7 linked regions of the Danio rerio genome follow. Each later gene encodes a partner of the first gene's protein in a complex. Links are inferred from orthologs where the notes say so. Each region holds a gene or a part of one and is shown in the gene's direction. Other genes may lie near its edges.

Region 1 (4,142 bases):
CGCCCATAAAACGACAAACTAAGGATATGGGGACGCGCCTGTCAATCAATATTGGTGGGCGGGGGAACTGCACTCCTACGTCAAGTTGTGGTCGCTCTGAAAACCGCTCCAATTGGTCCATTTTTGTAGTGTTAAATTGGAAAAAAAAAGGGCCGTGTGTTTATATCACCCCAATATGACGGTCTATACACTATACATGCATGTCTGTCCAAACAGCTTGAAAAGTAGATTTTTCACCATAGGTGCCCTTTAACCCTATATAGTGCATCTGGAAAGTATTCATAGGGCTTCACTTTTTCTACATTTCTTTGTTACAGCCTTTTTCAAAAATTGATTAAATTAATTTATTTCCTCAACATTCTACAAACAATACCCCATAATGACAATGTAAAACAGTTTTTGAAATTGTTAGAAATTTATTAAAAATAAAAACGCTGAAAAATCAGATGTACATCAGTATTTACAGCCTTTGCCGTGAAACTCTAAATCGAGCTCAGGTACGTTCTGTTTCCACTGATCATTCTTGAGATGTTTCAGCAGCTTCATTGGAGTTCACCTGTGGTCAATTCAGTTGATTGGACATGATTTGAAAAGGCATACACCTGTCTATATACGGTCCCAGGGTTGACCTTGCAAGTCAAAGCACAAACTAAGCATGAAGACAAAGGAATTGTCTGTAGACCTCCGAAACAGGATTGTCTCAAAAAACAAGGCTGGGGAAGGTTACAGAAACATTTCTGCTGCTCTGAAAGTTCCAATGAGCACAGCGGCCTCCATCCATAAGTTGAAGATGTTTGGAACCACCAGGACTTTTCCTAGAGCTGGCTGGCCATCTAAGCTGAGGGATCGGGGAGAAGGGCCTTAGTCAGGGAGGTGATCAATAACCCAATGGTCACTCTGTCTGAGCTCCAGCGTTCTTCTGTAGAGAGAGAAGAACTTTACAGAAGGACAACCATCTGTGCAGCAATCCACCAATCAGGCCTGTATGGTAGAGTAGCCAGACAGAAGCTACCCCCCGCCTGGAATTTGCCAAAAGGCACCTAAAGGACTCTTGGATCATAAGTAACTAAATTCTCTGGTCTGATGAGACTAAAATTGAACTCTTTAGAGTGAATGCTAACGGTCTAATCTGATTCAATTCATTATGCTAAGCTAAAAGTGACCCCGCCAGAGCAAGAAATGGCTGAATGGATAAAAAAAAAAACATTTCAAGTCAGCTGTTCAACTCTAGGAGACTTGTAAAGAGAGCCTTGAAAAAGGTGCAGTGTTTCTTTAAATCATGTTTAAAAGCCCATCTTGCACCTGCTGAAACCATTTAAGTCATTTGCATTCATATGTGGACACGGAGAGTTGAGCTCAAACGGGACTGGCTGTAGTAGTTTCATATCGACGATGCAGGTTTAAAAAGGGCTTTGCATATTGTTTGTGTTCTCATGCTGTTGTACATTTATTAGTGGACGTCGTTTTTAAAAGTGTCATTTTCTGACAATGAAAAGAGCTTCAAGTATCCAACAGCTCAAAGAGCAGCTCATGCAGGCCGTCGATGCTCAAAACAATGTGAGTAAGAGCTGAGTAATGCAATGGGAAGTCCTTCTAAATGCATGTCGTTTATGCTAAATGTGTTCTTGATTGTTATTTTTTTTTATGAAAGTTTTGTCTTAAAGTTTTGTCATTTGTAAGCATGACTGTTTTTATTCCTTTAATTAATTCAGGTAAATTAAAGGACAAAAGTTCCTCACTACAGTATTTCAAATTGGTTGTTTCATTGAAAAGGAAAGATTGGCTGGTTTTATTTTATTTTTACATGTATGTTGACTGTTGGTTTGCTCAATCTGTTGTGGGATTTATTTTTTAAAGCAAGTTTTATAGACATTATTTCACAGAGTTTTACAGGAATGAGCGTGCAAGCAGATTTGCATTTGAAACCACAAATGATGACTGAAAGTGTGACTGCTCCAGGTGCACATATGAGAAAATATATGAGAACGTTCATGTCTGAAAAAGACACAGAAACTGACCTCAGTGTATAGAGGAAAATAGCAGTAAATGTAGATGATGTAGACTGAAAGTCTGAAGTGACATGAACTTAACCTTTACCTGTCAGCAGATACAGAACATGGTGGCTGTGTTGGATGTGATATGCTGTCTGGAAAGTTACCCCATGACTAAAGAGACTCTAGAGGTAAGATACTAACTCGGTATGTTTGCACAGAGTTTAATTTAGAAAATGATGTGTTGTTATATTGTGTGAAAACATGAATAAATAAGACTAAAATCACAAAGGAGGAGCACAGCAGCTTCACAAATGCAGTATATTACAAAATATGGGAAAAGGCTGAATAGTACATGCACAATTTTAAATGAAACAAACAAATGATGAATAAAAATTATATAAATTACATTTATAGAAATAATAAATAAATAAAAACGTTACTAAACCCTACAAAACATGTATTAGCTTGCTCTGATGAGCACAAAACAGCCATTCTAAAATATGCTGGAGTTATTAACACAAACTTCCTCAGGTTTAGGTTGACACAAGCCAGTATTTTATAGAGTGACCATCTTGTCTGGTTATAAAAAATCTAAATTAATTTATTTTAGGTTGAGCAGACGAAGAAAAAAAACTAATTTTCAGATTTTAATTAGCAAAGACCAGACCACCAGTGAGCACTTCAGAGAAACTCACGTCATACAGCTATTAAAATTAATGTGCCACCTTTAAAAATGTTCATTTCATTTATTCATTTTCTTGTCGGCTTAGTCCCTTTATTAATCCGGGGTCACCACAGGGGAATGAACTGCCAACTTATCCAGCAAGTTTTTTACACAGCGGACGCCCTTTCAGCCACAACTAATCTCTGGGAAACATCCACACACACATTCACACACACACTCATACACTACAGGCAATTTCGCCTACCCAATTCACCTGAACCGCATGTCTTTGGACTGTGGGGGAAACCAGAGCACCCGGAGGAAACCCACGCGAAGGCAGGGAGAACATGCAAACTCCACACAGAAACGCCAACTGAGCTGAGGTTCGAACCAGCAACCCAGCGACCTTTTTGCAGTGAGGCGACAGCACTACCTACTGCGCCACTGCCTCACCCATGTTGACATTTTCAACCATAATTATGTGTGAATGCATATTTATTTCTGCCGTTACAAAATGTTACAAATAAATTCTAACGATGATGCAGCAAATGCTACCGAAAATTACACTGCCAGTTTAGCCAATTATATTTGAACACCCCGGGTTGACTTCATGGAAAATTGCATATTTTATTCATAAATGCTCTCAAAGCATGTGTCCATGACCGAAATGGACAGTAGCGGACTCCTAAATGAGATGCAAATTCTGGAATGTGTTGTTCATCTAAAATCATATTTTGCCAACTATTTCTATAAGATTAAAATAAAATAATCAAATAAGGCGAAGCAGTGGCGCAGTAGCTAGTGCTGTCGCCTCGCAGCAAGAAGGTCACTGGGTCGAGCCTCAGCTCAGTTGGCGTTTCTGTGTGGAGTTTGCATGTTCTCCCTGCGTTCGCATGGGTTTCCTCCGGGTGCTCTGGTTTCCCCCACAGTCCAAAGACATGCGGTACAGGTGAATTGGGTAGGCTAAATTGTTCGTAGTGTATGAGCATGTGTGGATGTTTCCCAGAGATGGGTTGCGGCTGGAAGGGCATCCGCTGCGTTAAACATGTGCTGAATAAGTTGGCGGTTCATTCCGCTGTGGCGACCCTGGATTAATAAAGGGACTAAGCCGACAAGAAAATGAATGAATAATCAAATAAGATCAAGTCCTTTTCTTAAATATTCAACTTTTTAAATTTATTTTGTGGAATAACTGCCTTTATAAAAAAAACTGTATTGTAAAAGATATTATTACCTTTCTCATATTAATTTATTCATTTTCTTGTCGGCTTAATACGCAGCAGATGCCCTTCCAGCCGCAACCCATCTCTGGGAAACATTCACACACACACACAAATACACTACGGACAATTTAGCCTACCCAATTCTTCTGTACCGCATGTCTTTGGACTGTGGGGGAAACCGGAGCACCCGGAGGAAACCCACGCGAACGCAGGGAGAACATGCAAACTCCACACAGAAACGCCAACTGAGCCGAGGCTCGA
Region 2 (4,287 bases), on another chromosome or scaffold:
ATCTTTAAAAGACCAACTTATCTAATGTGTTTGAGGCATTTATTCGCCTATCTGAAGGTGTCAGACTGATAATGTGTGTAAATAAATAAGGACTGACAGAAAAACACAGCACTCGGAGACACACCTTTGGAGCTGGTAACAACACCATAACTGTCTCGATTACAAACACTACTGCATCCAAACGTAAGTAAAAGACACATAATAGTAAATTACATTCATTAGATGTCGACAGGAAGCATTACAGTTGAGCTCATCTTCAACAGCCAGCGATGTCATGCAGCCCTAAGATGGCACGAAACTTCAAAATAAAGGTCTCCACATGTCGATTTATTTTCAAAATAAACGTCACAGTGCATTTAATGTTTTCCACAATAAAAGTTACTCGACTGCTTTGCGTTCATGGTTCATACCATTGGTTCATACGTACGTACTGCATGTAAATGGTAAATATGCATGTTTAAGCTATTTGGAAATAATATGATATGAAATAATAACAATTATTAAAACAATATAATTTTTGGAAAATATGCTTAACGTGAGCTTATAAAACTAGGTATTTATGAGAAATGCACATAACTAAGAAAATGCTAGAAAAAATAAATAATAAAATAACAATATAATAATAATAAATGATGATGATGATGATGATAATAATAACAATATTAATAAAAAAAGTCCTGCCAGTGCACTGAAACGTATAATATACTTAAAGTAACTTCCCTCATTGACTAAATTTTGACACAAAATATAACTTCATTCATTCATTCATTCATTCATTCGTTCATTTTCTTTTTGGCTTAGTCCCTACAGGGAGGGACATTCAACATGCAAAATCCAAACAAAAACGCCAACTGACCCAGACGAGGCTCGAACCAACAACCTTCTTGCTGTGAGGCGACAGCATTACCTACTGCGCCATATGGAAAAGTATACCATTTACTGTCTTTTTCTTTCTTGTATTTAATTAACCAATTAATTTTGAATGTATTGTTTAAAGTTTTAAAAAATGAACACCGATAACCCACCATTGCATTTTTGTTTACACATAATTTTCCATTTTAAAATAGTGATTTCCATTACTCCATAAAAAAAAATATATTGTATTTTAGGAATAGCCTAATTATTTCTTCATGTAGGACATGTTCCAGGATAGATGTCACTCCATGATTGCATTGGCAAAATCACACCCACCTCTTAGAGCCATTAGTTTTTCTGCAAGCAAACACCTTGACTTGAATTTGATCAACAGGGCAATCGGCTTTTCGCAACCATAATTGATGTTCTCCTGCTATTAATAATAGGCTAATAATACTCAATTTTAATACCCATTTTATATGATAAAGAGTTCACTTCAGTCCAGTAGGTGTCACTAAATGCACGCCTAAAAGAATAGAGCAAGCGTTGCACAATGCGCATGCGCAGTACTCGCTATCCATACTGCGCATGCGCTTTACTCACATGGACGCAGTTTCATCGAGACACATTATTTTTTCGTAGTATTTTACGCAAATCATTAGTTTTGTTTATTGCTTTTTGATACAAGTACAATATATGCTATTTTTAATTCATCGTCTGCCTGCTTTTTGTTGATAATATCTTCTAACACGTCTTAGCATGTCTATTGTTGTGGATGTTTTCTACAGCAGTTAAAGTTCTAGTTTAAGTTAATCTTTCAACTGATCGTTGACTGTAAATGTATTAAGAGACTTAAGTTCAGAATTATAATACTAGTAATAGTAATAATAATAGAGTGATGGAGGCTCCGCCGGTTACTGTGATGCCCGTCACGGGTGGAACTATAAACATGATGGAGTATCTTCTGCAAGGTAAACAACACCATCAGCACAACTCCTTTTACCATTCATTCATTCCTATTTATCATTTGTTACACTTTATTAAATAGTTTTAACTTAGTTTTTAAATACCCATTATGAGCAATCTCAATTTTTTAATTAGCAAAGTCATTTGAATAAAGCGTTGAATATGTTAAAGTGAATATGTAATTATAAACAATACACACACATTTTCTAGCGTTTTAAACTATTTTTATTTAACGCACCCTAATCTTCTTTAATTCCTTAAGACTTTTAATTTGGGATTCTGTATAATAAAAACATGTACTACAGTATTACTTTATGAATGTGCTAACGTTATATAAAACGAATAGTTTAGCATAATAATAGTATGTATACAATGTATTCATTGTAGTGTTTGTAGTATTATAATTTACAATTGTTATAATTTAAATTATACAATTATAGCATGCACTGTGCTACACGAGAGTTCTTTTTGCTGAGTCTTATTGTTTGCATAATATAGTTTGCTTATTTGGTCATATATTACCATTCCTACTTAAACCGTTACCAGATTTGTGTGTGTTCGGAGTAAATACATTTTTAACAAAATTATACAGCTAATTCATAAAGTATAATCAATAACACTTTCAAAATATGGTCTCATTAGTAAATCTTAGTTCATACATTAAAACAAAAAGCCACAGTGAGGGATATCGACATTTATTACAGTTAATAAGTTAATGTAAGTAAAAAAATACAACTGAAATGTATTATTTAATAACTAAATTTATTAAAACAATTACATCTTTTTTTTAGTGACTTATTAAGCATTAACTAAGAAATTGACACCACATTGCGAGAAATTGTGACATTACTTGAGACAAATTAGTCACAATTACAATTTTATTTTTATTGATGTATAGGAACAGGCTTAAATTATCTATCTATCTATCTATCTATCTATCTATCTATCTATCTATCTATCTATCTATCTATCTATCTATCTATCTATCTATCTATCTATCTATCTATCTATCTATCCATCCATCCATTCCCCTATCTATCCATTTATCTATCTATCTGTCCGTCCGTCCGTCCGTCTGTCTTTCTGTCTGTCTTTCTGTCTGTCTTTCTGTCTGTCTTTCTGTCTGTCTATCTATCTATCTATCTATCTATCTATCTATCTATCTATCTATCTATCTATCTATCTATCTATCTATCTATCTATCTATCTATCTATCTATCCATCCATCCATTCCCCTATCTGTCTGTCTGTCTGTCCGTCTGTCCGTCCGTCTGTCTATCTGTCTGTCTGTCTGTCCGTCCGTCCCTCCATCCGTCCCTCCCTCCATCCATCCATCCATCCATCCATCCATCCATCCATCCCCCATCCGTCCATCCATCCATCCATCCATCCATCCATCCATCTATCTATCCATCTATCTATCTATCTATCTATCTATCTATCTATCTATCTATCTATCTATCTATCTATCTATCTGTCCGTCCGTCCGTCCGTCCATCCATCTAATCTTCCATCCATCCATCCATCCATCCATCCATCCATCCATCCATCCATCCATCCATCCATCCATCCATCCATCCATCCATCCATCCATCCATCTATCTATCTATCTATCTATCTATCTATCTATCTATCTATCTATCTATCTATCTATCTATCTATCTATCTATCTATCTATCTATCTATTTATGCCCCTAATCTATGCATCCATCCATCCCACCCCCTATCTATCTATCCATCTTGACTTGGCTGTGTTCTGTTGGTTTGTTTGGCACAGGCAGTGTACTGGACCAATCTCTGGAGAGTCTCTTGCATCGCCTCCGGGGCCTGTGTGATAACATGGAGCCTGAGAGCTTTGCTGATCACGAGTTGGTGTATCTCCTGAAAGGTCAGCAGGGCAACCCGTTCATCCTGCGTGCCCGCCGCTCGCTCCTCGACCCCTCCGTCCCCTGGCACCTGCGCTATCTGGGTCAGCCCGAGGTGGGCGACAAAAGCCGTCATGCCCTGGTGCGGAACTGCGTGGACGTGGCAGCCTCGCACAGCTTGCCTGACTTCCTCAATGAGATGGGCTTCCGCATGGACCATGAGTTCGTGGCCAAGGGTCAGGTGTTCCGGAAGGGTGTGATGAAGGTGGTGGTGAGCAAACTGTCGCGTGTGCTGGTTCCTGGAAACACGGATAACACGGAGCCGCTCTCTCTGTCGTATCTTGTTGAGCTGAGCGTTCTGGCTCCTGCGGGACAGGACACTGTGTCTGAGGACATGAGGAGCTTCGCAGAACAGCTCAAACCTCTCGTTCACCTGGAGAAGATTGATCCCAAAAGACTCATGTAGAGAACATGACCTACAGACTGAGATTTTTAATTCGGTGAATAGGTGTTAAGACTGCATTTATTTGGAATATTTTTGATGATTGTTTTCTTTTTTTGTAATTGATGAAATGCTAATTAAAATCTTTAAATAAAAATA
Region 3 (3,500 bases), about 9.0 Mb from region 1:
TTTGCTAATATAAGTTAGTATCTTTTAAGTTCCTTTTTTTAAATAACTCTAAATGCATTTTAGCAATTAGAAGCTACTATAAAGATTATTGAGCTGAAGTTTGACTACAAAATTGAATCATCAAAATTGTAATATCTTTAAAAAAAAAAAGTGTAGTATGGTATTTTCCCCAAATCGCACAGCCCTATCACCAAATTAATAATTATGACAGACCTACATAGAATGAATCTTTGCATTCTCCTATCCACACACATTTATTGTTGTTTTGACACTAAGCACATCTTTTAATCTGTTAATATGTGTTCAGACATTGATAAGGTGATGATCAACCTGAAGACAGAGGAGTTTGTTCTGGATGGACCACCCCTCCAGTCCCTTCAGCAGCTTATTCAGTGGGTCGGAGACTTTGTTCTGTACCTGCTGGCCAACCTTCCCAACCAGGTGAGCTCAGCTGTGATGATCTTTACTGATGATCTGAGGCCTTTTACACAGAATGCATTTTTCTTCTCCAACCCTCTACTTTTGTATTGCTTTTTTAATGTTAAGACATGCTAGACAGACATATTTGACCATTACACTTGCTTCTCGTGTCTTTTAAACAGTGGTGGTAAGAGTACAAAAAAATTGTACTCAATTACAAGTACTGTTACATTGCTGAAATTGTACTCAATTACAAGTAAAAGTACTGGTGTTAAAAAGTACTCAAGTAAAAGTACAAATTACTCTTCGTAAAAACTACTCAAATTACAAAATTACAAATTACTTTTTTAGCTTGGCGGTATTGGTGGAATTATCCATAAATCCGGAGTCAGACAAGATTTAGGCAGTAAAACACATTTTACATAACACATCTAAAGATACTATAAACACTTTTTAAACTGTGTAAACAGCATTAATTATAGATTATAATTATATAGCACCTATAGAGGAAACCCATGCCAACATGGGGAGAACATGCAAACTCCACACAGAAACACCAACTGACTCAGACAGGGCTTCAACCAACAAACTGTTTGCTTTGAGGCGATAGCGATACCCACTGCGCACCATGATTATTTTACAAAAACAATGTTTTGCTATTTTGAGTATAAAGATAACAGAAATATGCACAAATGCACGACTTCTTATCATTTCAAATGATGCCTCTTTTATCTGTACGATCAATAGATGATTTAATATATAAAAAATAAACACTTGCAAATTATGGAGAAACTTTGTTAATTACCTAATTCGCCAACTGAACCGTCAGAAACCACAAAACAACACTGCCTAGTGCCTAAACATATTATTAATAAATTAAATATCACACAAATTAAGTTATGTCTTCTTACCATAATGTTTTTTTTCAGATTATAGACTGAAGTCTTGTAAAAAAAAAAAGGGTTTCTGCAGATATCGTAATGTCAAATGTAAGACTTTTTAAGACTACGTCATATCTTTAATATTGTTCAAGATTTTAAAAATAATTATTTTTCATTATTTTTATAATTTATTATGATTACAAAGTTGGGTGACGGGGTGGGGCAGTGGGTAGCGCTCTCGACTCAAGGCAAAAAGGTCGCTGGTTCAAGCCTTGGCAGGGTCATTTGGCATTTCTGTGTGGAGTTTGCATGTTCTCCCCGTGTTTGCATGGGTTTGCTCAAGATGCTCCGGTTTTCCCCACAGTCCAAACACATGCATTTTAGGTGAATTAGGTAAGCTAAATTGTCTGTTGTTGTAAATGAGAACGGGTTGCAGCTGGAAGGGCATCCGCTGTGTAAAACATATGCGGGATAAATTGGCGGTTCATTCCGCTGTGGCGACCCCAGATTAATAAAGGAACTAAGCCAAAAAGAAAATTAATGAATGATTGTAATGAATGAAATCTTTTCAAGATTTTTTAAATCAAAGTTTGATGCATCACTCACTTTTGTTTATATCACGGACAGTTCTACCTGTTAAAGTTAAATATCAATGACAACAGAACATGGGTTACTCTACAATTATTATTTTTTTATTCTGGCAAGAATAATAGCAAAAAAAAATTTTTTTTTTGCCCACTCAACAATTGACACATTATTGTCTGGCTAGTTTCTGTCCTCTACTAATGAGCTGAAAAGGCAATAATGGTCCAACAATCCTGTCCATCATCACCAATAAAGCCTAGAAATTGGGCTTCAGTATACTGTAAGCTGATGGGTTCATATATTATTTTCCAGTTATCAAATACTTAATTTGTTCCTTAATTTTTGTTACATTGCTTTAACTTCAAAATGATCCATCAGTGTAAAACCTATAAATGGTGGAAAAACATATTCTGTAATCTTAAAACCACCTGGGTCTCCACTTTTGCCATGGCCTCTTTTTTGTTGTAACAAACTTATCCCCCAGGTTTTTCCAAACTTTAACAAAACACTTCCTTTCCATGGCTGTTGCAATTTCTAGCCAAGAATTATCGGTCATCTGGTTATCTCTTTGTCCACGCATGGTCGGATAGTTAAGATGTCTGTACAGTCGTACTGTTACAAACAAAATCTCTTCAAAGTGATTCAAATTCAACTCAAATCTAGCACGGCGCCGCGCGAACTGTTCACCCGAAATCATGTCGCGCGCATCCAAAGTGAACCTCCGCAAACACGGCGATGACGTCACATTCGCCGCGCGCACTGAGCTATTGCATGCTGGGCTTATTTGTAGTTTTAATACTGCAAATTACAATAGGACTAGTGAAATAAAGAACTACACCACCACGAAACCAAGCAACAACAAAAAATTATATTAAATGAGCATTAGAAGTAGCGTTACATGTACATCGGAAAAATAAGACATGTGCAAACATATTTCAGATCTAGAACAGCGAATTTAAGACTTTTTAAGGGCTAAAATTTAGATGTTTATATTTTAGACATTTTAAGACCCCACAGAAACCCTGTGTAAGCCGGATGGCACAGCCGAGGGCAGGTTTCATCCACTTATTTTTGCGCTTTTTGGATATGCACATAAAACGGTAGATGGAAACGCTATAATGCGCATATATTTTGAAAATGTGTGTGAATGGACAAACCAGCAGGCTAAGCACATTGTAAAACATCTAAAGTGTTGTTTTGGTCATTCTAAACCGCCTCAACCATTTCAGTATTATATTATATTAATAATGACCTCCAGAATTGTCAAGAGTTTCTGCACTCCGTAGGTGAACAGCTCCTCCGGGTGTGGCCATGCATTCATCCTCTGCTATTTCTTCCTCATTTCTTCTGTCTTACATCTCCATATGTCAATTGATAACTTTGTGATTGTATGATGACGGTCACGTAAATCTGCAGTAGCCTGAACTTGTTTTTCGGTTCAAATAATGTACCAGGCTTTTCATTGGTCCGTTAAGATCAGCTTTTTTTATTGGCTACCGAAATGCTGGTCAGTGCGTGGCTGAAATATTAATTTATTGACAGTACTCTGTAACGAATTGTGATTATAAAAGTAACGAAGTAGATTACTCAGCTTAATTTGTACTCAAGTACAAG
Region 4 (3,500 bases), on another chromosome or scaffold:
TTTACTTTGACTCAAAAAATGTTGAGTACCATTGCAGTGACATCATGGGATTCTACTTTGTGTCAGGAATTGAAGCTTAGCCTATTTTGTGCCAGATTAGATCATTAGTGCTCCATTTCTACAAATTTTCAGTAATGCTGACATTTATATCCTGTTACTGTTCATCCTATTATTCAAACCAATTGGAAAACGCACGTCATTGTCTACTTGTGTTAATATGGAATGAGAAGTGGTACTCTGACCCAGTGGCTTTACAGACTATGATGGTTGTTTTTTGATTGATTATTTCTTAGAAAGGGTTGATTCATGGATTTAAAGTGTATATATTTATGAATGGACCTCCGTTCTTTACTCTAGTTCCTCTTTTGATTTGCTTACGTCCACTTACTACTTTTTTTCAGTCTGAGATTATAAACGGACATCCGTTCTGATGAATATCACGCTTTTCCCTTAGTTTCTCTTCTCAAGATGTTCTTTAGATGTTGTCAAACACCCTTGTCGACAGTCGGTGAACTGCTTTGATGCCATTTTCAATGTCAGCTTTATCTTTGTCTGCGATTTTGTTCATCTCAAAGCCAACAGTTAGGAACCGAAAGCCACAATGTTTTTATAGATACAGTTGAAGTCAGAATTATTAGCCCTCCTTTGATTTTAATAAAAAAAAAAATAATTAAGTATTTCACAAATTATGTTTAACTGAATAACTTAATTTTTTTTTTTTCTGGAAAAAGTCTTAATTGTGTTATTTCGACTTGAGTTTTTCATTTTTTAAACACAATTTTAAGTACAAAATGATTAGCCCCTTAAGCTAATTTTTTGACTGTCTACAGAACAAACCATTGTTATATAATAACTTGCCTAATTATCATAACCAGCCTAGTTGAGTTAATTAACCTAGTTAAGACTTTAAATGTCACTTTAAGCTGTATAGAAGTGTCATGAAAAATAGTTATTAGAAATGAGTTATTAAAGCTATTATGTTTAGAAATGTATAGAAAAAAATTATCTCTCTGTTAAAAAGAAATTGGGGAAAAAAAATAAACAGGGGGTCTAATAATTCTGACTTCAACTGTGTATATATATTTATTTATTTTTATTTTTATTTTTTATTTTTTTGTTTGAGGTATTTAATATCTCTGTTTATTTGTTTAGGTTATCAGTGTGGTGTGCTCTCAGTTCTTACTCGTCTCATCATAAGGGTCAAGCATCAGCACGACAACGCAAAAGACACCGTGAGGATATAGAGGTCAGTTATGCTGTTTTTCACACAGCTAGCGTTATCAGAACTTTGACAGTTTAAGAGCAATGAGCTTAAAATGAAAGCACAATTAGTCTCTTTTGCGCTCACTATTACCAAGCATATAATTCATCTTTGAATCTCATTCATATCTTCATTAACCACACTAACTTAATAAAAATAAAGTGGTCGTTAAAGCAAAGTAGATATAGGCTGTGTAGCTGTATGTAAATTTCCATACATTTAACACAATCACCATATAGCCATATACAGTTGCAATCAGAATTATTAGCCCCCCTTTGATTTTTTTTTTTCTTCTTTTTTTTTAAATATTTCCCAAATGATTTTTAACAGAGCAAGGAAATTTTCACAGCATGTCTGACAATATTTTTTCTTCTGGAGAAAGTCTAATTTGTTTTATTTCGGCTAGAATAAAAGCAGTTTTAAAATTTTATATAAACGTTTTAAGTTCAAAATTATTAGCCCCTTTTTATATAATATATATATATATATATATATATTTATATATATATATATATATATATATATATATATATATATATATATATATATATATAACCTAATTAACCTAGTTAAACCTTTAAATTTCACTTTAAGCTGTATAGAAGTGTCTTGAAAAATATCTAGTCAAATATTATTTACTGTCATCACGACAAAGATAAAAGAAATTAGTTATTAGAGAAGTTATTAAAAACCATTATGTTTAGAAATGTGTTGAAAACATCTTTTCTCTGAAATTGGGGAAAAAATAAACAGGGGGGCTTAACAATTCAGGGAATTTAATAATTCTGATAGACTGTGATAGATAGCAACTGTAGACATCACTTTCGCTTTCTTTATTTCACTTGTGTCCAGTGTCTGTCATCAGAATTTCAAATACTAATAACTGCTTGTATTTTATTTATAATTATGGACATTTTCATTAAAAGGATATTGCAAGCAGGTGACACATTTTATTTGCTGTTTTTACACTGGTATTGACAGAAATGTGCTGAGAAGAAATAATACATTAATTAAATTAGAAATAATTTAGTTAGATAACTATAAATTCATGTTTTTTGCAATTATGTTTTGGGGAAATTACAATTATGGAAGATTGAATACAATCAACATTGGCTAACTATTATTATAATAATTATTATTATTCTTTTATTTTAATATTCAGAAATAACAGAAAAAAAATGATTAAGAAATCTGATAAAGGGTCACACATTTGCCTGCAAAATCAACATGTGTATTATGTGTGTACACCTCATGATTTTATAAACACTTCAGCTCATTCACTGTTCTTTCATTGGTTGCAGGACTACACCAGCCTGTTCCCTTTGGATGACACACAGCCATCTAAACTGATGCGTTTGCTGAGCTCCAATGAGGACGAGAATTCTATGCTGTCCAGTCCAGGTCATATCCTGCCTGCCTCAACCAAACAAAACCTATAACAACTGCATTAAAATTATATACTGCTCAGTACTGCACCTGAACTTCACTTTTGGGGTTAATATGCCATTGGTGTCTATTAGTCAATCAAGAAATTTCACTTTTAGTGTGCTGTAAAAAATGCATATACTGCAGTTTTTTGCTGAAAACTCCCCACAAATATGCAACTTGTCTTGCATCAGTTTAGAGCTTCCTGTGGCAGTAGAACTTGGTATACTCCTGACACAATGACTGAAAAATACATATACAACCTAATTTACAGAAGACAATGCAGTAAACGTGTTTGTTTAAACTTTATTGTCTGTTCTGCTTGTCACTGAAGGCAAATTTGTCTTTAACACTGAATTTAACATATAAATAAAATCATACAACAATTAGAATGTAGAACAAACACCAAATTTACATCAAAAAAAGTTTGGATTTAGGACAACAACCACAATTAATAATAATAAAACAAGTTTTTATAAGCATTTCCTCAGTCTCTAGGAATTTTAAATGTCCTGATGTATTATTTCATACGCTGAGTGAAGGGGATGTGTTTGATCTTTAAAACTCAATTGCTGTTTTTTGAAAGTAGTTACATCAAATCTGCAATGCATGTTGTTTGTAACCAGTTATCTTATTTGCCTGAGGGATCATTTTAAAATTTCAATTAAAAAGGAAAGTTCTGTCATTTACTCACCCTTTACTTGATTCAAACCTTTACTTGTTTTCTTCTGTTAAACACCAAAGAAGATGTTTTGAAAAAAGCTGGAAGCCTGTAACCATTGGTTTATATACAGTTGAAGTCAGAATCATTAGC
Region 5 (3,668 bases), on another chromosome or scaffold:
TTTAGATTACTTTTGCGCTAACCCTTAGTTGATGTCACACATAGAATGAAAAGAATATAAGAAACGTATATTCACAGCATATTTATTATAAACACACACACACACACACACATATATATATATATATATATATATATATATATATATATATATATATATATATAAAAATAATGTTCATAATGGAATCATGTAATTAAAAAGTAACTAATTTGATTACGAGTATTTTAAAAAGGAGTTTATTATAATTACAAGATCTTGATTTTTGCAATATGATTACAAGATTGCATAATTTTAGAGATTGCATATAATCGGATATCACATACAAACCGATATTACATATAAAAAAAGTTTACAAATAAACCGATTTTACATACAAACCAATATTACATATGAAACGAGATTGCAAATAAAACAAGATTACATACAAACCGATATTACATAACAAGATTGCATTTAATCCGATATTACATGTAAACAGATATTGCCTATAAACCGATATTACATAGAAAATGAGATTACATAAACACCGATATTGCAATTAAACCGATATCACAAATAAAACAAGATTACATACAGGCCGATATTACAATTAAAACGATATAACATACAAAACGAGATTACTTATAAACCGGTATGACAATTAAACCAATATTACAAATAAAAGAAGATTACATTTAAACCGATAACATACAAAACGAGATTACAATTAAACCAATATTACTAATAAAACAAAATTACATAAACTGAGATTACATTTTAAATATTGCATTTAAAACAAAATTACATATAAAACGAGATAAACCACTATTGCAAATAAAACGAGATTACTTACAAACCGATATTACTTATAAAACAAGATTGCATTTAAACCAATATTAAATATAAAACAAGATTACATTTGAATCGATCTTACATATAAACCGATATTGCCTATAAAACGAGATTACATAGAAAACGAGAGTACACATAAACCGATATTACCTATAAAACGTGATTACCTATAAACCAATTACATATTAACCGATAATACAATTAAACCGATATAACATACAAAATGAGATTACATATAAACCAATATTAGTTATATCGATATTACAATTTAACCAATATTAAATATAAAACAATTACATATAATCCAGATTAAATAATTTTATAGATTGCATATAATCTGATATTACAAATAAAATGAGATCACATATTAACCGTTATTACATATACTCTGATATTACATATAAAACGATATATATATATATATATATAAACGTGTCTGCCACAGGTCAGCCGTCAAAGCTGCTGTACGTGATGCACAACTCAGAGGCGCCACTGAGCTGCATGGCTCTGTTCGAGGGCGGACCGGGACTCAGCGCCGACGCAAACTTCGACGTCCTCATGATCAAACTCAAGAGTCACTTTCAGAATGCAAAAGGACACAAAGTGGAGAGTCGCGGCACTCGCTATCGCTACTGCGACTTTCTGGTGAAGATCGGCACTGTTGCCATGAGCTCCAGCGCACGAGGGATTTCAGTCGAGGTACTAAAATGTGTTCAGTAGCTTAAATACACGTTATGAGTGTTGTATCAGTTTCATACTAACATTTATTATGAATTTACAAGAATTGTACGCAAAAATTACTCATCAAAACTGCAGCAGGTTTATTACTATAGCTATATTAGAGTCCACACTAGTGAGTGATAACTGTTTGTCTCCACATGAGTGAACGATAACTATATTAGCGTCCACGCTAGTTAACGATAACTACAATGATAACTATATTAGTGTCCACACTGGGGAACAATAACTACATTAGTGTCCATACTACCAAACAATAACTATAGCGTTATCTATATTAGCATTTATTCTAGCGAAACATAACTGTAACAATAAATATATTAATGTCCGCACTAGTGAGAAATAACTAAAATGATAACTATATTAGTGTCCAGACTGCCATACAATAACTATAGCGTTAACTAATATTAGCATATACTTTAGCAAACCGTAGCCTTAACAGTAAGGTGAACGCTAATTTATTAATGCTATAGTTATCGTTCACTTGTGTTGACATTAATATAGTTATTGTTCGGTAGTCTGGACTCTAATGTAGCTATTACGGTTATTTTTCATTTGCGTGTCACACTGATATTAGCTATAATTTACTAGTGTGCACATTAATATAATTATCGTTCAATAGTATGATTATAGTAACAAGTAGCAAATATAGCAATTATACTAATCATTTGCCAGTATGGAAACTAAAATAGTTATCGTTCAATAGTTTGAACAAAATAGTTAACGTTTAAATAATTGTTTGCTAGTAAAATGTTAATATATTTATTATGGTCTGCTGGTGTCGACTATTTAGCTTTTAGTATAGTTGTTGTTATCACTCACTAATGTGGACAGTAATATAATTATTGCTAGCTAGTCTGAATGCTAATATAATTTTCATTATACTTATCGCATGCTAGTATGGACACATGTATAGTTACCGTTATAGTTATCGTTCACTAATTTAGTAAGTCTTAAATCGCTATTGGGAATGTACTGCTAACACAATACCGTTAGTGGTAATGAGGACCGCTAACGTAGTTGACAAGATTGTGTGAAAGCTAATAGTTACTGTACATTGTATATGTAATTGATAATAATAAATAATATATCGTAATAAAATATGATGTGTTTGAATAAGTCCCACTGTCTTAACTTAAAATGGAGAAATGTATGCTAATTGCGCTGTGTGTGTGTGCAGGTGGAGTACTGCGCGTGTGTGATTCCCGGCGACTGCTGGAACCTCATGAAGGAATTTATGCAAAGTTTTCTGGGCTCTAACACGCCCGAGCTGCCGACGGTGTTTACGAATAAAGCGGAGGGTCTGTACGTGCCGGTGGACTGCATGGACACCATGAGCCAATACCTGGAGCTCTTCAGTAAAGTGCGCAAACAGCAGGTCCTGCCAGGCAGCGGCGTACGCTAAAACTGAACAAACACTAGCGCACTGTGTGTCCTTATATAGAGAGAACTTTATATAAGCTATGTGATGAGAACATTTCTCATTTATTTCGATTGCAAGTTCTGCGAAATACATCTGTTCATGTGTTGTTTTTTATATAGCCAATTACTTCCTGTGTTTGACCTTGTTTTTTGTAAAATAAACTAATTAATTTTGAATTTTACTCCTTTATTTATTCAAAATCGACCAGTTTTTGAACATTTGTGTTTTCAGGTCCGCAAAACAGTGTTGTGTTGTATTGTAAACTAATTGGCAAGAAAAAAAAAAACATACATCAACGCATGGAAAATAGTGCTGCGCAAAATTTCAACACAATTAAAAATAGCATCCAAAATAGTTTGTTTCGAAGTAATGCAAGTGTGTGTAGTGTGTATTTATTGTGTGTACATAAATACAATCTTGCATGTATATATATATACACACACACACACACATATACCATACCTACATATATAAACACATATACACACATACACATGTATATACAAACATACATACACACATATACACATACACATGTATATACAAACATATATACACACATATACACACACACACACACACACACAGTATTATGTTGAAACACTTATTTTGGATGTGATTACTCTTTGCACAAAGCACTAATAAAAAAAGTTTTTCTACTTTAAAAAATACCCAA
Region 6 (3,942 bases), on another chromosome or scaffold:
GATCAACTTTTGATCATCTTTTGAGAAATTGGTTGGTTGGATATATTTTATGTATAATTTCACTTTATTAGTGACACAATACTTGTTGTTATAAGTCCAGATCAAGTTCCAATAGATATTCTCAGATTATTCCAAAAGTATTTGTGTCTAAAAGTGGCAAGATAATAAATCAAGCGTCTACAAAATTTATTATTACATTTTCTATCTTTGAAATCAACACCATGTAATTAAATCTCATTTTTAACTGTTAGTTTATTTGGTTCACTGTAACTCTGCAAAAGCCCCGCCAGGCCTTGTGGAGGCACAGGAACTAAACTTCTCAAAAAAATTCAGTAGCCTATAAGTCAGTAAATATCCTTCATCTTTTAAGCTGTGAGACCAATAGAACACCTTTTTAACCAAATTATCATGGAAAATAGATTTTTTTTTCTTATATTCCAAGTCACAAAATGTATTTTGTAGGCTACAAATATTACTACGAAAAAAAAAGGTGCAAATGCCTCATAAATACTTTTTTAAAATATTGCCTGAACTTTATTCGGCTTACTTATTTGTTTCTAAACATTTTGATATTCCGAGTAGTTGTACATTTTGTGGTGAGGATGATGAAACTTTAATACAATTATTTTGTATGTGTGAATTTGTTCAGAAATTTTGGTTTGACCTTTATCGTTATTAAACACTCCTCCTACCTTTGCACAATATTTTAGTTTAAAATAAAGTGTTTGTTATTACTCAGAATAAATCTGAAGAATTTGTTTTCAACTTTTTATCTTGTTTGGAAATATTTTATACAAATATGCATTGTTTCAGTCCCTACTTTTCGACATTTTCTCATTAAAGTTGACTCCTGCTCAAATCTTTGCGTACGTGTAACAACAACAAAAAATGTGTCAGATACTTGGCTCTACATGAAGAACTGTTGACTCTGATTTGAGTTAAATAGCTCTTAATTAATTTATTTTTATACAATTTTATACAAGTGTAATTTACTTACCCCTTACAAATGTAGTTTGTATTGTTCCTATTTTGTATCTCTCTTATATTGATCTCCTGATTGTGGTTGTAAGTTTTCATTCTTTATTATTTAAAAAAAAGGTGCAAATGTCGTGAAACACTTTTACGACAGCAGCACTGGTTTTATGGCAAAAATGGCGTCAGCGGTCTATGTCCGCATAAACAATGAGTAATGTGTTGTTTTTGGTAATCGCGCTCTAAAAAATCTTTTTATACTAATCATTTTCCAGATATTTCAGCGTCGTCTGAATTCTCGTTGTCCGTAATGGCTGGTGTTATGGAAACAGGTTTGTTAAAATTAGATTGAATTGTTATTTAGCACATCTTTGCCCACGAGATTCCTAGCAATGTGACAGTTAACGTAAATACAATTGTTTGGTAACGTATTTTAGTTTCGTTTTGATCATATTAAGTTATACAACGTTTTAGAGGTACTACACTATGTGTTATTTTCTGTACTGGCGCAGATATATGTTGTTCAAGCAATTTCTGTAACACTTAACATTAAGGTAGTATCGTCGTTAGCCAATGTTTGCTAACATGAACAAACAAGAATCGTTATATTTATTACAGTGTTTGTTCGTCTTTGTTAAAAGTATTAATGAAATAAAGTAATCTCAACTTACGGTGCATCAACTAATGTCAAGCATGAACTTGCATTTTAATTATGCACTAATACAAGTATTGTTCGTTGGTAGTTCATGAATACATTTACTAATGATTATTTGTATTATTTCTTTTCAAACACAAACATTGCTTACGCTTCTATTTGTGCTTTGACAGACGAGCAGGCGAGACAGCGCTTTCAGCTGGAGCTGGAGTTTGTTCAATGTCTGGCAAACCCAAACTACCTGAACTGTAAGAACAACGTTAACTCTTGTTTCTTTTTTACTGTTCGCTAAATTCAGTCATTACTTTAGTCATTGGTCAAATTCACTCATTGGTTGTTACATTCTGTAAATTCAAGGTAATTTTGTTACTGTGGTCGAAATATGAAGATGGATAATGATTATTAATCTTAATTTTTTCCCCCCATCCTGCAGTTCTGGCTCAGAGAGGTTACCTGAGAGAGAAGCCTTTCGTCAATTATTTAAAGTATCTGCTTTATTGGAAGGAACCAGAATATGCTAAATTTCTAAAGTAAGTAACATGTTGTTCTTGTTGAAATAGATTGTTAATTTGTCAAACATTTCTTCTTTGGATGATGAGTGCTTCTAATAAAAGCATGAAAGAAAGAAAGAAAGAAGGATATAAAATTTGTTCAATATCGTGTAGTTCTAGTGCATAATATTTATTAGTTATTTATTATTAGTTATTTATTAGTTAGTATTATTAATTATTTATTAGTTTACTAGTTATTTTGTAAAATACTATTATTCAGCTTAAAGTCCTGTTTAAAAAATTGACTAGCTCAATTAGGCTGGTCATTTGACAGCAGTTGTTTGTTTTGTAGACAGTCGAATATAAGAAGTTCTTAAGGGGGTGAAAAATATCGACCGTAACGTTTTAAGAAATTTATTCTTTTAATGCCACCAGAATAAAGAAATGAGACATTCTATATAAGTTAAAACGTAATAGTTTAGAATAGAAATATAAATATTTGTTTTGCTAAACATGACTTGGGAAAATATTTGAAAAGGAATTAAGAATTTTACAGGTGGTCTAATAATTTAGCTGTATATAGTTGTATTTAAAAATGTAAATTGAATTACAAGTTTAGTATGTGTGCCTAATCTGTATGGAACAAAATTAATGGCAAAAGTATTGAAATAAAAAGTTTGTTGATTAGCATTAACTGAAAAAAAATAATGCATTGAATAAGCAACTGCTTGCATTTTAATGACTTGAATTGCAAGAGTTTGTATTTTTAGGGCCTGAATTTTAACACGGCTGTTTATTTAAGCTGTGAATATTTCAACTAAAAATATTTTAAACATGTTTTTATACTTAAAATTTCAACAATTCATATTCAATTTCCAGATTTCATATATATATTAAAAGTTCAATTTTTAAATATATAATACTGGTGAAAAATATGAAGCATAATGTTCAAAATTTAACTTTCAGTTTGTTTACTTTTCAGTTTAAAATTTTGCTTCCAAAAATTCAGTGGTTTAAATTTGGCTCTTAAAATTCGACATTACTTCCGGGAACTGCAGGAACAGCAATAGATTGCAGATTGGCAATCTCCAGCTGCTTTTTCACTAGCAGGTGGACCAATTTAAGATTTTTAAACCATTAAATAAAGGTTTAAAAACTCCCTTTTTAAGGGAAAAAGCTAATAACAGCACAAAAGTAGCATTTAATATTGTCCTTGTTAAATTTTAACAGCCGAATTTGATCCACTAAATTAATGGAAGAGAACTTTTGAACTGAAATAAAGTGAGTTGAAAATTGTCTTTTGAATATTATACATGAAATCCGGAAATTAAGAATTATTATTTTTAAGTATAAAATAAGTATAAGAATTTTCAAGTATAAAAACGTGTTTGAAAAATTTTTAATTGAAATATTTACAGCTTAAATAAACAGCTGTGTTAAATTTCAAGACCTAAAATTACAAACTCTGGCAATCCAAGTCATTAAAATGCAAGCAGTTGTTAATTTAATATATTATTTGTTTCAGTTTGTGCTATTCAATACGTTTTTTTTTTGTTTTTGTTTTTTTTAACAATACTTTGATTTTGTTCCATAAATCTGCAGTTTACATAACCTAAACTATAAAGTTATATTATTTTATTTGTCAATATAAAGCAAAAACAGACAATATGGTGCCAAATTGTAGGTCGCTTACCATTAGTGCTGTGTGATACTGAACAGAAAAGATTTAAGCATTCTAAATAATTCAATGCAATATTTTATTAAAAATATCAAATCAATGAAATATTTCATATGATTTCAGGGAAAAGAGAACATCACTACAAC
Region 7 (3,500 bases), on another chromosome or scaffold:
ATACCTTGTTCAACCACTGGGTGTCAGACTTATGTATTGCACCTTTAAATGTTAGGTCATTTAGAGTCCAGCGTCTCCTTAACCGAAGTCACCCATGGCAGGTAAATCTCCAGGCCCGTTCCCCAACTGTGACTGGAGGTTTAACGAGTTCCCGAACCCGGCCGCTCATGCGCTGCACGTCACCTGTGTGGAGCTGATGGCTCTGGCGGTCCCGGGGAAAGACGTGGGCAATGCTCTGCTTAATGTGGTGCTCAAGAGGTTTGTCATTAGGAGTTATTATAGGTGTGTTCGGAGTTGTCGAGTCATGCTGTGTGTTGAATTCATACTATTGCATTATTACCTGCTTATTATTACTATATTAACTGTTTATTAGTTGCTATAAAGTATGATTTTATTCTTCATCTCTAACCCTACATGATATCTAAACCCAACGCTTACCTTACTAACTATTAATAAGCTGCTAATTAGTAGTTTAATGAACTGAGGTCTTAGTTATTGGTGTGAATTGATTTATGCATTATTCATGTTGTTACATTGGTCACTATAAGGTTTCATTAGTTTGTGTATTTGCTAATGTGGTGCTCAAGAGGTGTGTTATCTTCATTACCGTGTGTGTGTGTGTGTGTGGAGGAGTGGAGTCATGCTGTGTGTTGAATTATGGGTCTGGTGTTTTACAGTCAGCCGCTGGTGCCTCGAGAGAACATCACGGCCTGGATGAACGCCATCGGACTGGTCATCACCGCTCTGCCTGTACGGCCACACCTTTATTTACATTTTGTGTGTGTGTGTGTGTGTGTTTTTTTGTGACATTTCAGGACCCAAATGTGTATAATGACATGGGTATTACAATAAGATGGTGACTAATAAATACATGAGTTTAAAAGAGTTTTAAATCGTTTACAGCGGGGGAATTAAATATTCATTGTGGCACCATTTTTCTCAGGAAACATTTTTCTAGAGGTGCGGCTGACTTTTCCCCAGATGTTGGTAACAACCAAAGAAATCCTTGTATGCACAGAAAACAAATCTAATTAGTTTACAAATGAAGTTCTGTGTAATAAAATGAAATGAAGCAGGGAAAAAGTATTGAACACATGAAGAAAGGGAGGTGTAGTTCTGCAGTGAAAGCCCAGACAGCAACTGAAATCTCTCAGTAGTGCCCTTCCTCGGTGTAAATGAATATCAGCTGCTTCAGTCCAACATCTACATCAGCAGGAGGATGAAGATGAAGCCAAGGTGGACATTTCAGCAAGACAATGATCCAAAACACAGCCAAGGAGACTCTCAGATGCCTTCAGAGAAAGAAAATCAAGCTGTAGAATGGCCCAGCCAATCACCTGACTTGAATCCAATAGAGATTACAAAATAAAGCTCAGATTTGATCCACAGAACCATCAAGATTTTGACTCTCTGTTGAAGTCTGTGAGAAACTCACACCTGAGCGATGCATTTTTTACTTCATTCTCCATATGAGAGGCGTCTTTAAGCTGCCAAATATACATATATTTTTCAGTACAAATGCACAGAGTTGAGAGGGTTGGGATTGTCATGGGATTTTATATGGTCCATTTCAGGCATTGAAAGTCAGAGAATTAAGTCTATACAGAGCTCATACACCACTCTCTTTTAAATCAGTATTTTCTAAACGATGCTTAACAGTAATAAACAGTTGATAATAATAATAATAATTATTATTATTATTCCTTACATTTATATAGCGCTTTTCTGGGCACTCAAAGCGCTTTACACAGTGGGGGAATCTCCCTTATCCACCACCACTGCGCAGCATCCACCTGGAAGACGTGACAGCAGCAATTTTGCGCCAGAACGCACACCACACACCAGCTGATTGGTGGAGACAGAGTGATGATATACCAATTATGATATGGGGAGGGTTAGGAGGCTGTGATGGACAGGCCAGTGGGCAGATTTGGCCAGGATGCCGGGGTTAAACCCCTACTCTTTTTCGAAGGACATCCTGGGATTTTTAACGACCACAGAGAGTCAGGACCTCTGTTTAACGTCTCATCCGAAAGACGGCGCTCACTGAGCAGCATAGAGTCCCCTTCACTATACTGGGGCATTAGGACCCACACAGACCACAGGTTGAGCGCCCCCTGCTGGCCTCACTAACACCACTTCCGGCAGCAACCTAGCTTTCCCCTGTGGTCTCCCATCCAGGTACTGACCGGGCGCAGCCCTGCTTAGCTTCAGTGGGCGACCATGTGAGAGTTGCAGAGATCTAGCTGCTAGTTGAAACCAGAAGACTGTGTTTTATTCCACGAGCTGCGCAGATCTGTGTTTAATGCTTTGTATTTCTCTCTGCAGGAGCCCTACTGGATCGTCCTGCATGACCGTATCGTGAGTGTGATCAGCAGTGCGGTGCTCAGCTCTGGGTCAGATTGGCTGGGTTACCCATTCCAGCTTCTGGACTTCACCGCTTGCCATCAGTCCTACTCAGAGATGCACTGCAGTTACGTTCTGGCTCTGGCTCACGCCGTGTGGCATCACTCCAGCATCGGCCAGCTCTCGCTCATACCCAAGTAAGACTTTACACCTGCATCACTTTTCTGCTGAAAAACTGGCAGTAGCTCTTTTATTATTCAGTAACACGTTAGTTTAAGGATGTACTCACACTAGGCTATTCATTTGACAATCGCGCCTGGGCACTGTTCAACACAACTATGCCTAGTGTGAGTACATCCTAAGTTTAAGTTTTGTTGGGAACCTGTTGCGTTCAGGCATATGTGGAAACCCACAATCGCTCTCTGATCTGTACCAAAACAATCGTTCGGAGATCGCCTGAATGTGGTGGTCTCGGCTCAATTAAATTGAACTCTGAAACAGTTCGGTTGTAGTGAGAAAGCAATAAGATCCGCATTATTCAATAGGAATGCTGTAATCATGCTGTTACATTGGTCACACTTTACTATAAGGTTTTCTCTGTTCTACACTGCTCTATTGTACTCTACTCTACTCTATATTGCTCTACTCTGCTCTACTCTATTCTACTCTATCTTACTTGGATATCTTACTTATCTACTCTGTTCTATTCTACTCTATATTGATCTACTCTTTTCTAAACTTCTCTATTCTACTCTTATCTTACTCTATTCTTCTCTACTCTATTCGACTCTACTCTTTTCCACTAAACTCTATTCTGCTCTATTCTACTATCTTACTCTATTCTACTCTACCCTATTCAATTCTACTCTACTCTTTTCTACTCTGATCTACTTTATTCTACTGTTCTCTCTTACTCTATTCTGCTCTATTCTACTCTACTCTATCTTACTCTATTCCGCTCTACTCTATTCTACTCTGATCTACTTTATTCTACTCTACTATGTCTTACTCTATTCTGCTTTACTCTATCATAATCTATTCTGCTATACTCTATTCTACTCTGTCTTACTTTATTCTACTCTACTATACTCTATTCTACTCTATCTTACTCTATTCTGCTATACTCTACTCTGATCTACTTTATTCTACTCTAG

Evidence for each region.
Region 2: mediator of RNA polymerase II transcription subunit 26-like (region 1) and med18 share a complex: the UniProt entries of both Homo sapiens proteins name them as parts of the mediator complex. The link is inferred for Danio rerio from reciprocal best matches to the Homo sapiens genes MED26 and MED18.
Region 3: mediator of RNA polymerase II transcription subunit 26-like (region 1) and med16 share a complex: the UniProt entries of both Homo sapiens proteins name them as parts of the mediator complex. The link is inferred for Danio rerio from reciprocal best matches to the Homo sapiens genes MED26 and MED16.
Region 4: mediator of RNA polymerase II transcription subunit 26-like (region 1) and med24 share a complex: the UniProt entries of both Homo sapiens proteins name them as parts of the mediator complex. The link is inferred for Danio rerio from reciprocal best matches to the Homo sapiens genes MED26 and MED24.
Region 5: mediator of RNA polymerase II transcription subunit 26-like (region 1) and med20 share a complex: the UniProt entries of both Homo sapiens proteins name them as parts of the mediator complex. The link is inferred for Danio rerio from reciprocal best matches to the Homo sapiens genes MED26 and MED20.
Region 6: mediator of RNA polymerase II transcription subunit 26-like (region 1) and med31 share a complex: the UniProt entries of both Homo sapiens proteins name them as parts of the mediator complex. The link is inferred for Danio rerio from reciprocal best matches to the Homo sapiens genes MED26 and MED31.
Region 7: mediator of RNA polymerase II transcription subunit 26-like (region 1) and med23 share a complex: the UniProt entries of both Homo sapiens proteins name them as parts of the mediator complex. The link is inferred for Danio rerio from reciprocal best matches to the Homo sapiens genes MED26 and MED23.

Annotation. Positions count from the first base shown.
Region 1 is NC_133186.1:5,668,093-5,672,234, forward strand, and holds the start of mediator of RNA polymerase II transcription subunit 26-like, read left to right. Parts: upstream 1-1,342; 5' UTR 1,343-1,488; coding exon 1,489-1,557; intron 1,558-2,104; coding exon 2,105-2,182; intron 2,183-4,142. UniProt on the Homo sapiens protein: Component of the Mediator complex, a coactivator involved in the regulated transcription of nearly all RNA polymerase II-dependent genes.
Region 2 is NC_133191.1:7,708,827-7,713,113, reverse strand, and holds the start of med18 (mediator of RNA polymerase II transcription subunit 18), read left to right. Parts: upstream 1-1,487; 5' UTR 1,488-1,753; coding exon 1,754-1,826; intron 1,827-3,598; coding exon 3,599-4,152; 3' UTR 4,153-4,287. UniProt on the Homo sapiens protein: Component of the Mediator complex, a coactivator involved in the regulated transcription of nearly all RNA polymerase II-dependent genes.
Region 3 is NC_133186.1:14,629,193-14,632,692, forward strand, and holds part of med16 (mediator of RNA polymerase II transcription subunit 16), read left to right. Parts: intron 1-307; coding exon 308-441; exon of another isoform or gene 442-604; intron 605-3,500. UniProt on the Homo sapiens protein: Component of the Mediator complex, a coactivator involved in the regulated transcription of nearly all RNA polymerase II-dependent genes.
Region 4 is NC_133187.1:11,200,937-11,204,436, reverse strand, and holds part of med24 (mediator of RNA polymerase II transcription subunit 24), read left to right. Parts: intron 1-1,152; coding exon 1,153-1,246; intron 1,247-2,562; coding exon 2,563-2,662; intron 2,663-3,500. UniProt on the Homo sapiens protein: Component of the Mediator complex, a coactivator involved in the regulated transcription of nearly all RNA polymerase II-dependent genes.
Region 5 is NC_133197.1:578,330-581,997, forward strand, and holds the end of med20 (mediator of RNA polymerase II transcription subunit 20), read left to right. Parts: intron 1-1,276; coding exon 1,277-1,530; intron 1,531-2,749; coding exon 2,750-2,974; 3' UTR 2,975-3,168; downstream 3,169-3,668. UniProt on the Homo sapiens protein: Component of the Mediator complex, a coactivator involved in the regulated transcription of nearly all RNA polymerase II-dependent genes.
Region 6 is NC_133196.1:43,308,451-43,312,392, reverse strand, and holds the start of med31 (mediator of RNA polymerase II transcription subunit 31), read left to right. Parts: upstream 1-1,142; 5' UTR 1,143-1,282; coding exon 1,283-1,304; intron 1,305-1,800; coding exon 1,801-1,875; intron 1,876-2,060; coding exon 2,061-2,157; intron 2,158-3,942. UniProt on the Homo sapiens protein: Component of the Mediator complex, a coactivator involved in the regulated transcription of nearly all RNA polymerase II-dependent genes.
Region 7 is NC_133195.1:2,599,294-2,602,793, reverse strand, and holds part of med23 (mediator of RNA polymerase II transcription subunit 23), read left to right. Parts: intron 1-92; coding exon 93-258; intron 259-677; coding exon 678-750; intron 751-2,328; coding exon 2,329-2,543; intron 2,544-3,500. UniProt on the Homo sapiens protein: Required for transcriptional activation subsequent to the assembly of the pre-initiation complex. Component of the Mediator complex, a coactivator involved in the regulated transcription of nearly all RNA polymerase II-dependent genes.